Caenorhabditis elegans: one gene and its partners. Changing the gene in region 3 together with the main gene of any one other region gives a genetic interaction. Each region holds a gene or a part of one and is shown on either strand. Other genes may lie near its edges.

Region 1 (5,243 bases), on a different chromosome or scaffold from region 3:
CTACTGTCTGAGCGGTTTTTAACTGAATCCGACGATATCAGAACGGGAAAATGAAATTTATGAAAATTTTCCAAACAAAACTATTTTGAAACCTTATTAGGCACTAATCAGTTATTGTAGAAAAATTCTCAATCTGTCGTTTTTGAAAACATTCCTGTCAACTTTGTGATTTGGCATAATAATAAGAAACTCGACAAGTAGGGCTCTATATACCCACATATCTTTTCGGACAGAGGGAATGCGAAAAATTAATCAATCGCAAACTTGTTAAGCTTAAGATAAGGAACACTTTTCCCGTGCAAACTATTTGAAAAAAAATCTGAATGGATCCAGATTCGAACCAGCAATGACTCTACTGAAGAGCGCGCGCTTTACCACTTCTCCAAACAGGCAAGTGGCGGCCGCGGTTCCAAGGAATATGTGAAACCAACCGAGCTGTACGAAGTAAGAAGCTTCCATTACTTTTTCAGATATTTAGTTCTGAAAACTTTGTCAACTCTCCTTATCAACAACTAAATGGTCCTTTTTGTAGTTATTTCTACTGGAAAAAAAGAGTGTGCCTGTAAATAATATCCTGCGTATAAACGTTGTTGTCCAGTGAAAACCTTCGCTTGACTTGAAATTTATCTTGAAAACTACTTTTTTTGAGTGTATTTTTAAACATTCTACAAATTCCACTTAATAGCAGCTCGGGAACTTCTGTGATTCATCGAATAAGCTATTTTCAAAAAAAAATTGGCCCAAAATTTGTTTCTGAAAAACGGCCCCAATCTTGTTTTTTTCCAGTAATAAATGCAATCTGAATTTTTTCGAAATTATTTTTCGCATGGAATGTCCTGTTTTTGGGTTTCAAACGCACTTTTTTGTCAATTTTGCTTTTTAAAAATATGAAGTGTCGTCGAATAAAATGCACGGTACGCAAAAGTACGCAAACACCGACATGTACCGTACTCCGGAATTTTTTCAATTTCGATCGAATTCGATTTGCCAATAACGAAAACGACGAAAACGTTACGTTTGAAGCCGGAAAATGGGATTTTGATACGAAAAATTATTTTAAAAAATAAACTTTTTATATACACTCTTGGAAAAATAAGAACTGTAGTGGTTTTTGAGAAAAAACATTTTAGGCCCAAAATTTAATTTCAAATGTTTCATTTCTGTATCTCGTATCAACATGCATGTACAATTTTCTAGAAATTTCAAGTCAAGGGAAGGTTTTCACTGGACAACAACGTTTATACGCAGGATATTATTTACAGGCACACTCTTTTTTGCCAGTAGAAATAACTACAAAAAGGACCATTTAGTTGTTGATAAGGAGAGTTGACAAAGTTTTCAGAACTAAATATCTGAAAAAGTAATGGAAGCTTCTTACTTCGTACAGCTCGGTTGGTTTCACATATTCCTTGGAACCGCGGCCGCCACTCGCCTGTTTGGAGAAGTGGTAAAGCGCGCGCTCTTCAGTAGAGTCATTGCTGGTTCGAATCTGGATCCATTCAGATTTTTTTTCAAATAGTTTGCACGGGAAAAGTGTTCCTTATCTTAAGCTTAACAAGTTTGCGATTGATTAATTTTTCGCATTCCCTCTGTCCGAAAAGATATGTGGGTATATAGAGCCCTACTTGTCGAGTTTCTTATTATTATGCCAAATCACAAAGTTGACAGGAATGTTTTCAAAAACGACAGATTGAGAATTTTTCTACAATAACTGATCAGTGCCTAATAAGGTTTCAAAATAGTTTTGTTTGGAAAATTTTCATAAATTTCATTTTCCCGTTCTGATATCGTCGGATTCAGTTAAAAACCGCTCAGACAGTAGTATATTTCAAAAGTTGGAAAAAGAACACAGCTATGAAACTTTCATGTTGATTTCAGAGTGAAATTGTAATTATACCTAAAATCTGCTACAAGGTAACTTTCAAATTCCAACTTTTGATATTCTTTTTTTCATTAGGTAGTAAAAAATCGTTAATCGTAGTAAAAGATACGAATCGTAGTAAAAAATCAAATTCGGAAACCGTAGTAAAAAAAACGGCCGTAGTAAAAGATACATTTCGTAGTAAAAAATCGAAATTGGAAAATGTAGTAAAAAATACGGCCGTAGTAAAAGAGTAAACCGTAGTAAAAGAGCAACGTAGTAAAAGATGAGGTAGTAAAAGAGCATTTGCCAATTTTGAACATATATTTTGGTAACCTTCAACATGTAAGCTTTTAACTTTAAACAACATTTATCGCTCGTTAAAAATACTAAAAATCTTACTTGTATCAGTTGCGCGAGGAAGAAAACAGTCGGCTTCATAATCGAAATAAGCTCATCTGCATGCAATTTATCAGAAAATGACTTGATTCTGAAATTAATAAACTTGGCAAAATTTTTCAATTAAAAATGCCAACTCACTGTACATAGTTGACCATTTCCCGGATCAATTCGCATTGCAAACATTTCGAATAAATTCTATCTGTTTTTGTATTTATCACACTGTGGATGACTTGATTCCAGGTGATTGACTGTAAATTTATAATTTTTTGGAATAAAACAAAGAACTACAGAGTACCTTATCTACGACAAGTTTGAGAAGATGGTCCCGGAAAACATCATCGATATATGTTCCATTATAAGCAAACCGAATCAAAATATCTGAATAAAATATATTAATACAATTACAAAAAAGAATTGCAACAAACCACAAAGCTGCTGAGTTGAGATACCGGGAAAGTCAACTGGACGAATGACTGATGATACTTTTTGTCGTTTTTCATTTGAGCAATTGCGGAGTTTGTCAATATATTCAATAACTATCTAAAAAAAAATTAAATACAAAATAAGTTTGTTGAAATTAAAATAAAAATTTATTTAAAAAAAAACTCACTTTTGTTGAACTATCAATTTTGATACTATTCATGATTTAATTGATTTAAATTTGAAGCATTTAAACTGTAACCAAAATATATTCAAACACCGACATTAACCCAATATTCGGTGCAATAGTATAAATGGATGTGAGACGTAGACACGCAATAGAGCGAGGTGGCCGAGTGTTTATTGTCCCCCACTACTTGGGGGACTAGGTACGATGCATTCCTCTTCCATTGTACATTTTCTGACATAGGAGGGATGTCTTCCTTCACTTCTCAGAGTCAATGAAAAATTGGGCGTGGACGGCATTTATTTTCAATGATTCTACACAATTTTCAGATGTAATAATCAAACTGCCACCCCAACAATCTCTTAAGACGATTTAATTCAGCTTCATTCACTTTTCATTTTCAAAAAAAAACTTTAAGCTTGTTTTAATTACTTGTTTATAAGTTACCATGGAAACATTACATTTTCTAAAATGTGCTTTGCACTCAAACTATAGTTTAAGTTTATATATAAACTTGGAAATAACAACTTTCAATATCTTGAGCATGTCTCAAATTATTTCATTCGTAATTTTCACTAGTGTTTTTATCAGACCCAAAGCCACTATTGTAAAAAAAAACTAGGCAAAACTTTCAGCCTTTCAAAGCTGGGTGCATCATTTTCTTCATCGGCCAAAAATCATGTTCTCGGCAGAGAGCAACTTAAGAAACAGGTGGAGGTTAAGTAAAACTTTGAGTGAAAATATATTTTTGAAGATAGATGAAAACTTGAAAATCGAAACACAAATACTCGAGGAACGTAAGAAGAAGGCTTTAAAGCTTCTTATCATAGGTACCTGATTAAAAAAAAAAACATAATCAAAATGTAACCTTTATTATATTTAGGTCCGGGAGAGTCAGGAAAAAGTACAATAGTCAAGCAAGTAAGGTAAATTCAATGAAAACTACATTTTTTCAGTTGCTTCCAAAAATTATCACCTACTCAGCTGATTTTCAAAATAATTAGATAATATATTATCGGTAGTTTGTAATATTGAAATTTTGAGAATTCTTCATTGTGGAGGATACAGTGTTGAAGAAAAAAGAGCTCTAAAACATGGAATTTATATAAATATCTTGGAAGGTATTGATGAGATACACTGGGCAATTATGTGGAGACAATTAATTTACGAAAATCCATCTTCAATTGTAAGTAATTACCGTATTTCCTCTATTAGTTTTGCACCCCTTTGCTCAACTTTGACAACTCATATCTCGTTTTGTTTTAAGCATATAAATAATTAACAAACTACAAACGTTAGAAAACATCTTGCAAAAATTTTATCAGTTGACAACTTTTTTATAAAACAAACGACTACTGAGATATGAGCTGTGAAAGTTGAGCAAAGGGGTGCAAAACTAATAGAGGAAATACGGTAAATGTTTCAAAACTAATTTCCATTATAGGAATGCCTAAATCAAATCCGAATATTTACGAAACAGTTCAATAAAACTGGAGAGACTGAAAATGTTTTGTGCAAAGACATTATAAAGTCTATCCAGATGTACATAAAAGATGAAACAGTTGCCATGATGTTGAGGAATAAAACTGTTTATAATATTGAAGACTCAACAATTCAGCAAGTTAAACGTTGGGTTTTATTCAGTCTAATTATTATTATTTCCAGTTTCATTGAAAACCTTGCAAGAGTTATTGGAAAAGAATACTTGCCAACCGGAGAAGATATATTGAAAACCAGAGTCCCAACCTTGGGAATTGCACAATATGAAGCAAATATAAAACATTTGACTTTCAAGTAACACTTTGTTCAGTTTGTTGTGGTTTTTGGAAGGAAACAATTATTTACAGATTCATTTTTTTCGACATTGGGGGACAACGTGCTCAACGTCGAAAAATTACCCATGTGTTGTGAGATGGGCTGGGCTATGCCACCATCTCTCAATTACAAAGTTCTTTGAGCGCGACGAACACATTTCCATCGTGTTCGCCGTAGCTTAAAACCTTTATGCTCCCTTTATTCTCGCAATTCTCTCCCGATTAGCATCTTTCTAAGCGCCTTCCCATTCAAATTTGCCGCCAACCGGCTGGGTCTCGCCACGCGCACGCGCCGCCGACCGCGGCGCGGCGCAGCTTGCTCATCCTAATTGGCTGGCCTAAATAGTTTCATTCATTCGATTATCAACCGCTCCTTCTGAGCGGTCGTCCCCTTTACCTTTTCCGTTTTATTAATTGATATTTAGTTGTTTTCTCTCCGAAGTATTGATTGCATCGGCAATCACGGGCATTGGGATCAGAGCACAGCCTCTGACCCAATTGCCTAGTTGATTGACCGATTGACAACAACAATACATGAACAGTTCACTCATCATCCGCT
Region 2 (5,243 bases), on a different chromosome or scaffold from region 3:
ATCTTCACCAATTCCAAGAGATCTCGATAGTCCAAAATCTGATATTTTCACAAGTTTCGGTGAGAAAACGAGCACATTTCTTGCGGCAAGATCTCGATGAATGAGTCTTTGTAATTCAAGATATGACATTCCCATTGCAATTTGTTCAGCATAATCACATAAAACATGAACTGGAAAACTATCACGGAGAGCCGGTTTGTGAAGGCATTCCAGCAAAGATCCACATGTTGCGAGCTCCGAGACCTGCAAATTTTTTGTTATAATTTTTGAACTTTTAGATAATTCTGAAATGTTCAATTTTTTTCGAAAATTTATGATTTTTTATCATTAAAACTTTCTCACGAGGAGGAGAAGTGCGCAATTTTTGCTGTGAGTTTGACAGTTTCAGGCTAGAATACATCGTTCTGGACCATTTTTTCCGTTTTTTTTTCCTTTTTTTGATGAAAAATGCAAAAAATCAAGCTCTAGGGTTCTATAGAGATTTCTTATTAAAAACAATTTTTAAATACTAATTTTAATTTCAAAAGTCGCATAAAAAATTTCAATTTTTAAAATAATTTTCGGTATTTTTTTTTTCTGTAAAAATGGTCTTTGTTTGTCTTCGTTTAGGCATACGAGAATCTAATATTTATTCTGGGTTTTTCTAGCAAAATCGAAAATTGCATTAAAACTCTATTTTACGATATTTTTTCCATTGTTTTTTGAAATTTTTTTTCGGTTTTATGACAAAAAATTTGAATATACAAAAAATTCTAATATTACCAGATTTGTTCCGGCTTAGATTTTAATTTTTAAATCCTTACCAACATAATTTTTTTCGTATCAAGAACAACTCCATATAGTCTAACAACATGTTCATGTCTCATTCGTGTCATAATTGCAGCTTCTTGTAAAAATGATGATGACGTGGCAAGTAGTTTATCAGATCCAACACATTTTACGGCTACTTGAATGACGTCACTTCCTGCTGAATTCTTCCATCCTGCTTGCCAAACTGACCCGAATTCTCCTTGTCCCAACTCTTTGCAAAGCGTTATTCTGGAAAATTGTAACTTTAGTTTTCAATTAATTTTCTCGAAAAATTAAATCGAGCAATTTTAAAAGAGATTTTTCAATGTTGAAAAAATAATATGATGTAATGTCAAATTTGCAAACACAGTTTTCTTCGATTTTGCAAAATCTCGGAAAGTCGAAACCTCTGTACTTTTTTCTGAAAACAAGGAATTTTTAAATAAATAGTTTGTTTTCTAGGAAACTTGAATTAAAATTTAAAACCTAAAAATAAATAAAATGCAAATTTGCTTGGAAATTTCCGATTTTTCTGATTTTCAATAACGAAAATCAGATTTTTTAAATTTTAGATATTTTTCTTCACTTTTTTGTAGATAACTTATATTTTTATGTGGTGGTTATTCTTGCGAAGAGGAATAAAATTTGCTAAAAATTTTTTATTTTTTAATCTTCGAAAAAAAAAAATTATTTCTTTTGTTTTTTTTTCTGAAAATACCATACTTTTAAAATTAATTTTCTTTCGATTTTTTCAAATTTTTCATTCTGAAAAAATGATCTTTTGCCAAAACATCTTTTTTTCTGGAGTTTTTAAAAAAATTTTTTTTAATTTTCCATTTTGCTCCACGTTTTTCCCAGAAATGCTCACTTTTCAATTGGAATTACATGATGATCATTATCATCTTGATTTGCAACTGAATTCGAAGTTTTTCGATCCAAACTTTCCGCCCTTTTGAATGCTTTTTTCACTTTTCCAAAAATTCCAGACGGAAACATTTTTGTATATTCTTTTCGGAGGCGCTTTTGCTCCGGGCGGCTCATTCCTGAAAAATGTAAGTTTATTTTTCGGATTTTTTTCTGAAATATAATTCTTAATTTCCGATCAATTTTTAATTTAATTTCAGAGAAAAATAAACTAATTTTAAAAAATCTCAAATTAAAAAAAAGAAAACTAAAATAAATGGCCACAAAATGAGCAGTCATACGATTGAAAAATGAGAAAAATAAACACTTGTTTCGATTGAATCGTTGTGTAAATATTGATGGTATTTAGAGGCAGAAAGTAGAAAAAAAAAACAAAACAAATTTAATTATTTTTTGTCGAATATTATTTTTAGAATTTTAAAGAAGTTATTCTGGTTTTTTTTCAGAGATTATTGTTCTATTTTTGAGTGGAAAACTAACAAAACTGTGATTTTTTCGGTATTTTTAAAATAATTATTCATTGAGATTAAAAAAAAAATCCTCACCAACAGACAACAAATCGACTTCTTCGACATATTGTAAATCGGCAGCATTTCGTAGTTTTAGTTTTCGACGGAGATCTGATTCGTAGCTGAAAATTTTATTTTTTAATTACTTGAATCTCGGTTTTTACGCAGAAATTGTTAATTTTTCTTCTGAAAACCCCATTTTTCAGCAAATAATCTTAATTTTCCAGCTCTTACCCTGATAAATCGGCTGCTTGAAGCAGTTTATTGAGCGTCGCATCAGCGGTACCCGCCGTCGGCTCCTCTCGCATTCTTCGAATATTTTTCTTTTTTCGTTGTTTCTACCCCCGGTTGACGTTTGTTTTGCCTGCAATTTTTAGAATTTACAGTCAATTTTACACAATTTAAACGGAAAAATAACAGAATTGAAAGGCGTGGGAGGATGTGTTGACACGTGTTCAGAAAATGAAGAAAAAACAGTTTAAAATAGCAAATACCGTACCCGCCAGTTCTCGAAACGATTTCACGTATTTTAAAGTTTATGCTATGCGCCTTTAAGGAGTACAGTGTTTGATACTTCTGAAATTGCTAGTTTTTTTGAAAACTAATAAATAATTAAGAAAATGGAGCAATTTTTCACTGAAAAATCAATTTCAAAAAAATTAAAAAATTTGAGTTTCAACAAAAATCAATGAAACATTTCTTTGGAAAAAAGATGTTCAAAAAAAGATATTGGATATACATTTCTACATGCAAAGAGAGGAGACCCAGGAACATTGAACAAAAAAAACTTTTGGTCACTCTCACTTCCACTCTCTGCATGTTTAGAATTGCGTGCAATGAACCGGGCAAAAATTCATTTATTTCGACAAATTCGTGTTTGTGCGTGCTTCCCTTTATTTTTCAATTCATTTCCAATACACATTTATGTAGTGTTGAAAACTTACTAAATATGGAAGTTTGTTGCAATAGGAGAATTCAGTATTTTTCGAAAATAGAAATTAAAAAAAAATAGAAAATATTTAAGGCATTTACAGCGAAATACTGCGGAATGTAAATATATTGACGATTCACATTTTTCTGTTAAAAAAATGTATCGAAAAAGTATCGTATTTTATGTTTTTAAAGGCGCACGCAATTCTCCGACTGGGTCTCGCCACGAGAAACAAACGTGTATGGTACAAATTTAGATTTTTCTTTGAAAATTTTCTTGCAATTTCTGCTATTTAGTATTCTCAGCATTTCGAATGATAATCATGAAAATAAATAAAAAATATAAAAATCGGAAAGCGCTACCATAAAATTTTCTAAAATGCTTTCAAATAAAAAACCCGCAAAAACCATTAACTAGACTGATACTATTCTGAATTCGAATTAAACTAGAAAGACGGGAAGTTGAAAAAAAATTTCGAAAAGAATTTATCGCCGCATGGTTCATTAAACAATATCGTAACTTCTCAATTTTCTGAAAACTGTAGTCGAAGGCGCACGGATTTAGCCAGATGGGTCTCGCGGCGAATAAAGTTTTTGGTAGATTCAATTTTTTTCTTTAATTAATTAAACTTAAAATTGTGATAATAACACAACATACATTGATTTTTAAAATATGGATGTGCTCCAAAAGTGCTTCAATAAGTGATATTTATTACCCATTGTTTTTTTTGCGGCGAGACCCATCCGGAAAATTACGTGCGCCTTTAAGCAATATTTTCAGAAAAATGCGAAAGGATTAAAGCATACTACATGGAAACGTAAAAAACAAAGAAAAACTCTAATATTGCATATATCCCGAGAACAATCGAATAAAAAAAGGAGCTCCATTCCGAAAAAATGAAGGAGAAAACGGGAAAGACCATCAATCAAATTGGATGTGGAAACACATGGAGAAGAAAGAAAAAAAAAGAAAAAAGGGCGAATATCTTGTAATAGTAGTACTGGTGGTTGTAGTTGAAGTACACTTTGAAATAGTGTATGACTTCAAGCGAACATGAGGCGCAGACGGTTAGATACAATTAGCTAATGAATGTAAAGTTTCTTTTGCTTTATTGTTACGGAGATTCTAAAGTTTTTGAATTTTTTGCAAGGTTTTAAAAAGGCGCACGAATTCATTCGGATAGGTCTTGCCACGAGATGAAAGAAAAGTTTTGAAAAATCATTTTTCTAAAAAAAATCATAGATGAAATACTGAAAAGAAAATTTCAGAAAAAACTGCACACAAAATTTCGAATAGCGTAACACTGCGAAGCCAGGATATGTTTTTTTTTAATTCTTTTTTATATGAAAATTCAATTTTTCCCAATTTTCAGTTTTTTTTTTCAATTGATGCACCATGGTGTCTACATAGCACATTTCCAAGTTTTTTTTTCATTGATAAGTTCTAAAGTTCAGTGTATTTATAGGTGTCTGTCGGTATCTTTTCTTTCATTTTTTGTTGTTAAAAACCATCATTAAAATTTATATTGCCATGGTTAACTTGATGTAGAACACTTTTAAATACATATGTAGCATGTGTATTATTTTCTTTAATGTTCGTTAGGTTTGAAAAAACACAACTAGAAAAAATTGACCTGAATGTTATTAAATGCTCTTTATATTTGTGACAGGGGGCGGCAAACGATTTATTCCGGCAAATCGGCAAATCGGCAAATTGCCAGAATGGAAAATTTCCGGCAAATCGGCAATTTCCGACAATTTCGCATTTATTTTTTGGAAATTTCAAAAATTCAATTTCAAATGGCAAAATTAAACGCATCCCATGAATGTTCCTACATTTATTTTGAAAAGTAAGCGAATTCTATTTAAATATGTTTTAAAAAAGCGGAAAAAATTCAAAAAAGACTTAGTTTTCAGTGTTTCCGTTTTATAAAAAATCCCTCTAAACATTTCCGGCGAATCGGCACATTGCCGGAATTGAAAATTTCCGTCAATTCGGCAAACCGGCAATTTGCCGACTTGTCGAATTTGTCGACAAATCAATTTGCCGAACGGCAGTTGTCGCCCACCCCTAATTTGTGCACCCATCGG
Region 3 (5,243 bases):
TCCCGGAATATCGCATGGTCGATTGTTGTAAAAACGTTTGCCAACGACTCCAGAGCATCTTTCTCATCTTTTGTCCGCATTGAAGAATGCATTTGTGGTTGATTTCGAGTTGTTGGAAGCACGAATACATCCATACACATTACACCATATCGTAGAAGACGTTCGAATAAATCTCGCTCCTTCGAACAATGATACATATCCTGTGATGGCCGGGCGATTCTCAATTGTCCTGTCACGAATTTACACGTATGCATTATATACTTCACAAGATTTCGAGCTTCAACAATTGCCAATGGAGGAGGTGTCATCGTTGACATGGCGGTTAAAATCGCTTCGGGAGACGTTTTCTTTCCCTCTTTTGTTGGCGGAGGAAGCTTGTTCGGATCTCCACCACTCTCATCTGCATCTTCCGACGTGGATGGTTCTGATGCCAGGAATTCCAGCTCTTCAACTGAATCAATGGAGAGCCGACGGATTCTTCGTTTCGGTACTCCTCGTATAGTGTCCTTTGGGATATTCATTCCAGGTTTCTCGGCGTCTCTCTCATAACTTTTGTATTCGTAGTCTATTTCGGTTCCGTATTGTTGGAAGAGAATAGGCATGTGATAGACTGCAAGAGTTTTGAGCTTGGCCACGTGCGACTCCAGGATTTCAATGAGCAGATCACGAGTCTGAAACTTATTTCGAAGTGAGATACGATTATTGATAGAATAAGTCTTACGGTATCATGTGAATCCATTTTGCACAGAGATTCGGCCAGTGAGTTGAGCAGCCGAGCAGACATAATCTGGACTTGAGAAGAGTTGTTAGGATCGTGAAGAGTGCGACAGAATACGAAAATCACGCTGAAATTTCAACATTTTTCATCAGAAAGTCTTATTCAAACTTACTGTGTGATCATTTCATAGTCTATAGAATTTCGCATGTGATGCAACAGATCTGCTAGCATTTGATACATGAAAACTCGCAAATGCTCAATCGCAGTGAATCCTGTTCCCAGAACAACCTCCTCAGCGATGAGTCGAGGTAGCATTGGAAAGAATTTCGACTTCATTTCTCCAGATGTGAAATACTTCAAAGCCATCAGAACTTCTCGTCGGACACTTATCAGATCAGCCGGGCACCGCTCGAGCATCTGCATTGTTCCCGACACTAGAAGCGGTCCATTTTGCATGATAAGATCCATAAACTGAAAAATAAAAATCAGGATTACAGAAAAAAAACTTGAAAAAACGAAACTTACCGCTGGAATCTTAGCCATAATGTTGACGAATGACAGGAATCGGGACTGTGCACTGACAAAATCATCGGTTATTATTTGATTTGTTTTGAGTTTATCCTCGTCTGGAACTCTGACATTTAGAAAATCAAGACCAAGCCTCATGAAATCAAGCGCTTCGGTTTGGATCGCTGTTTTGAAATGTTGATAGAAGAAAATCACGAGATACGGAACCTCCAGGAGCACCTTCGTTGACTGATGAGCTGATGGAATCATATTGTATTTTAATGGCGGTTTTCCTTCCGTTCCGTTGAGAAGAACCGTTTGTTGATAGTAGCAAGTCTTCAAATATTCAGTGATGACTTGCTCGTCGGAGCTAGTTGACGGTGGAGCTTTATGCTCTTTTATGTTGAACATATCACCAGCTCGACCACTCGCCGTCAGATCAATGACCATTGTTTTGAAGGAGACCATTATCTGTGAAACCTCTCCGCAATATTGCATTTTGCCGGTACTTCTCCCTTGATCGGTGACAATTTTGATAGCCAAATTGGCATTCTCCTCATTTTCCACGGTGATTAGCCTCATCATCTGCTTGATAATTTCTTTGCTATGATGTTTCATGGCTTCTACGTTCGAAAGTCGAAGAATGATTTCAAGCATTAACTTTCGAAGCTGTTGTGTATTGTTTTCAGCAATGAACTGTGGACTTGTGTTGCAGAAAACTTGTAGGAACGAGAGAATGAGCCTCTCCACGACTTTCTCGTGCGAACTTAGTGTGAAATGATTTTCGATTGTGCTCCAAATCTCCTGCAACCGAACAAATTGATTACTTAACACGAATTATTGAAACTAACTTGTAACATTTTCAATTTGACATCATCTCTTTGTGAATTATCGGCAAGATTTTGAATTCTCGTTTCCAGCTCTGTTAGGTGATTACTCCGATCGGACTGCACAGACCGATAGCCTGGAGAAGCCATAGCCGGATCCATTTTGTATTAGTGACCAGCACTGAAGATACTTCTAAACTATTGAGCTTTGTGCAACTATTTGAATAATTTATCTGAAACAAGATTTACGTGTTTAATTCACTAAATTGCGAAGGAAACAGATTATAAAATGAAGAATGGAGTAGAATGAACTATTAGGAAGTGAATGCAACAAGAAAAATCAGTCAGAAAACGCTGAAATTATCGGAAAACTGACATTATTTCAGCAGAAACAAAGAAACAACTAAATTTCAAACGAGAGCGAATTGTCTGCTGACGCGTATGTGTGTGTGTTGGCGCACTCGCGGTTGTTGGCGCATTTCACGTGCATTGCCACGAACGAGAGAGGAGATTTTATTGAATAAAAAAGATGTGACCTGATTAATATTTGACCCTTTCTTGACTTTTTCTTTTATTTTTATGATTATTAACAGTGTAATAACAAATTTCAGACACATGGGATCAGTTATAACCAAGGAAACGGTCTTACAGGAGAATATTTATCTGAAGAAACTCAGCGGTTTGGAACCTGTCGACGATTATGACCCATTTTGGAACAAACTTCTCTCTTTCAGTCTCAAGTTTGATGATGACGACGAGTAAGGATTAAAATTAGGCAAAAGCTTTAAAAATGTTATAATCGTTTAGAGACACCCGAATCGCTTTGGAATCTGCTTTAGATGATCATCTTCAATGTCTAATGTACAATACACAAACAACAGGAAATTTCGCTGCATTTATTCGACTTTTCCTTCGCAGAGCCACAGAACTAAAAACATCAGAACAATGCGAAAAGTGAGTTGGAAAAAAAAATCATCATTATATTTAATTAAAGCTTTTTCTTATTTCAGTAAAATCTACTTATGGCAAACATCAAACGCTCTTCTCATTCTTCGTTACATCGCCAGATTTTTAACTCAACGTATGACGGAAAAAGAATTCGTGAGGATTTTCGCCAAAAGTCATGAGAGTACGGAAACCGAATCGTCGTCTACATCTTCCTCGTCGGATGAGGAAGATGATGACGAACAGAAATCAGAAAACGAAAATAATAATGGAGGTAAATAAGCTTCATTTAAAAAAAAAATTCAATAATAATCAAATTCTGACGTTTTCAGCGACAAAATATATCCCGATAGTTTTTCAAAACACTGCAGAAGAGTTCACGTATGAGCTGGTTTCGATTTTAATCAATATTTCTGTAAAGTGAGTTTTAAATTATTTTTTAAAAAATTGAATTAAAATAATTTCAGCGAAACAACATTGGCAATCCATGTCGAAGCAGTTCGATGTCTCCTAACTCTCCTGAGCTCTCAACTATATAATGAATCAATTGTGAATACTTCAATTGTCTTCAGATTCTTTATTGATGGATCATGTGCGAAACACGCAGCTTCGCTCACTAAAACTCTTCTTCTCAATTATTTGATCCACAATTCAGAGTATCACATGACTGTACAAAAGCCACAAGAGAGCATTGTTTTTGGATTAGCTTGTATGTCACTGAAAATCTTTTTTAATTCTTTATTAAATTAAAAAAAAAACACGATTTTTAAGCATCAATGTGGTCAATGGTCCAAATGGCAACTGGTATCGACTCCGCAGAGGAAGAAAAGAAGCCCCCACTTACTCTTGGAAACTTAAGCATCCTGCTTCTCCTCAATCTTTCATGCCATCAACCTCTCAATTCATCCAATCCATTCAAAGAAACCCTTGCTCTCTTCCAAAATGCTCAAGAAGTATCCACATTGCCTACTCAGATTGTGTCGTTCAAAATCGATTATAATGGATTATACGAAAGATTGTGTGCTACCGCTGGCCAGGAACCTCCGATGCTTCTACTCTACATGCTTCTACAGGCGAACTCGGGATTCCGGAACTATGTGTTGTCTCGGATCAACCTCGAGAATCTAGTTGTTCCTGTTCTTCGAATTCTTCACGACGGTGTCGCGACATCGAACAACTCTCACCATGTTTATCTTGCATTGATTGTCGCCTTGATTCTCAGTGAAGATGATATTTTCTGCAAGATTATACACGAGACGGTGAGTTTTCACTAGAAATGCTAAGATTATATTGAAGTATATATTTGCAGATGATCAAGGATCTCGGCTGGCTGGACAGTGATTTCAGTGTCCGCGAGATCTCTCTCGGAGGTTTGACAACTCTTGTGCTGGTTCGAGCAATTCAGAAGAATGCTTTGAAAACTAGAGTTAGTTGTTGCTACCAAGGGTGTCATTTTTCAATTTTTTTTTCGATTTTTTGACGTTTTTCAGTGGAAATCGAAAAATCGAAAAAAATGTTCAGAAAATTAACCATAAAATATGATTTTTTATCTAATTTTGTTTATATTGATAAGAACAAACATAAAAGTTTCATCTAAAAAGAAGAATAATGGCCAATATATCAAGCTCCTTTTTTAAAAATCGAAAAATCGAACAATTGAAAAAGCGAAAAACCGACAGTTGCTACCTGAAGATACAAAATTTTGTTTTTTTTTAAACCAAACTCAAATTTTTCCAGGACCGATATCTTCACACAAACTGCTTAGCTGCTCTTGCAAACATGTCAGCTTTCTTCAAAAATCTTGCTCCAATTGTTTGCCAAAGACTCATATCACTGCTTGATCTTCTAACAAAACGGCATGCTAAAATGGTGGATCATATGAGAGTCAGCAGTCAGAATGATGTTGCAGATGGACAGCCGATCAATTTCGTAAGTTCATATTTTGTTCAAAAATCCAAATAAAAAGTATAATATTTCAGCATGACGACATTACTGCTCTCGAAGAAGGAATTCGAACTCTCCTTGAGATCATCAACAGTGCACTTTGTGGAGGACTCCGTCACAATTCACACCTCATCTACAACCTTCTCTACCATCGTGCTCTATTCGATGCATACGTTCAGCACCCAATGTTCCAAGATCTTCTTGTTAACATCGCAGCAGTAATCTCTCACTTCTCGTCGAAAGTGATACATGTCCCAGCAGGCGATGGATCCACAATGCTGCAAATAATCGAGAAGGAGGCA

The links.
Region 1: of trr-1 (region 3) and lin-25, changing one enhances a phenotype caused by changing the other (phenotypic enhancement), as found in Caenorhabditis elegans (one large-scale study listed by BioGRID).
Region 2: of trr-1 (region 3) and ark-1, changing one enhances a phenotype caused by changing the other (phenotypic enhancement), as found in Caenorhabditis elegans (one large-scale study listed by BioGRID).

What each region holds. Positions count from the first base shown.
Region 1 is NC_003283.11:12,647,620-12,652,862, reverse strand, and holds the start of lin-25 (Protein lin-25), read right to left. Parts: upstream 2,939-5,243; 5' UTR 2,907-2,938; coding exon 2,874-2,906; intron 2,804-2,873; coding exon 2,689-2,803; intron 2,642-2,688; coding exon 2,559-2,641; intron 2,512-2,558; coding exon 2,402-2,511; intron 2,352-2,401; coding exon 2,264-2,351; intron 1-2,263. UniProt on the Caenorhabditis elegans protein: Participates in the inductive signaling pathway downstream of let-60 Ras and the RAF/MAP kinase cascade to regulate specification and differentiation of many cell types. Positively regulates the fate of vulval precursor cells.
Region 2 is NC_003282.8:12,628,437-12,633,679, forward strand, and holds the start of ark-1 (Ack-related non-receptor tyrosine kinase), read right to left. Parts: upstream 2,587-5,243; 5' UTR 2,531-2,586; coding exon 2,457-2,530; intron 2,345-2,456; coding exon 2,259-2,344; intron 1,833-2,258; coding exon 1,658-1,832; intron 1,039-1,657; coding exon 804-1,038; intron 244-803; coding exon 1-243. UniProt on the Caenorhabditis elegans protein: Probable tyrosine protein kinase which plays a role in vulva development, probably by acting as a negative regulator of the let-23/EGFR and let-60/ras pathway. Involved in the negative regulation of germline development.
Region 3 is NC_003280.10:11,673,643-11,678,885, forward strand, and holds the start of trr-1 (Transcription-associated protein 1), read right to left. Parts: upstream 2,286-5,243; 5' UTR 2,215-2,285; coding exon 2,077-2,214; intron 2,030-2,076; coding exon 1,244-2,029; intron 1,190-1,243; coding exon 891-1,189; intron 846-890; coding exon 722-845; intron 678-721; coding exon 1-677. Other genes in the region: C47D12.2 (Dymeclin), read left to right, coding at 2,668-2,810, 2,860-3,006, 3,063-3,271, 3,330-3,417, 3,465-3,706, 3,769-4,256, 4,307-4,423, 4,735-4,926 and 1 more.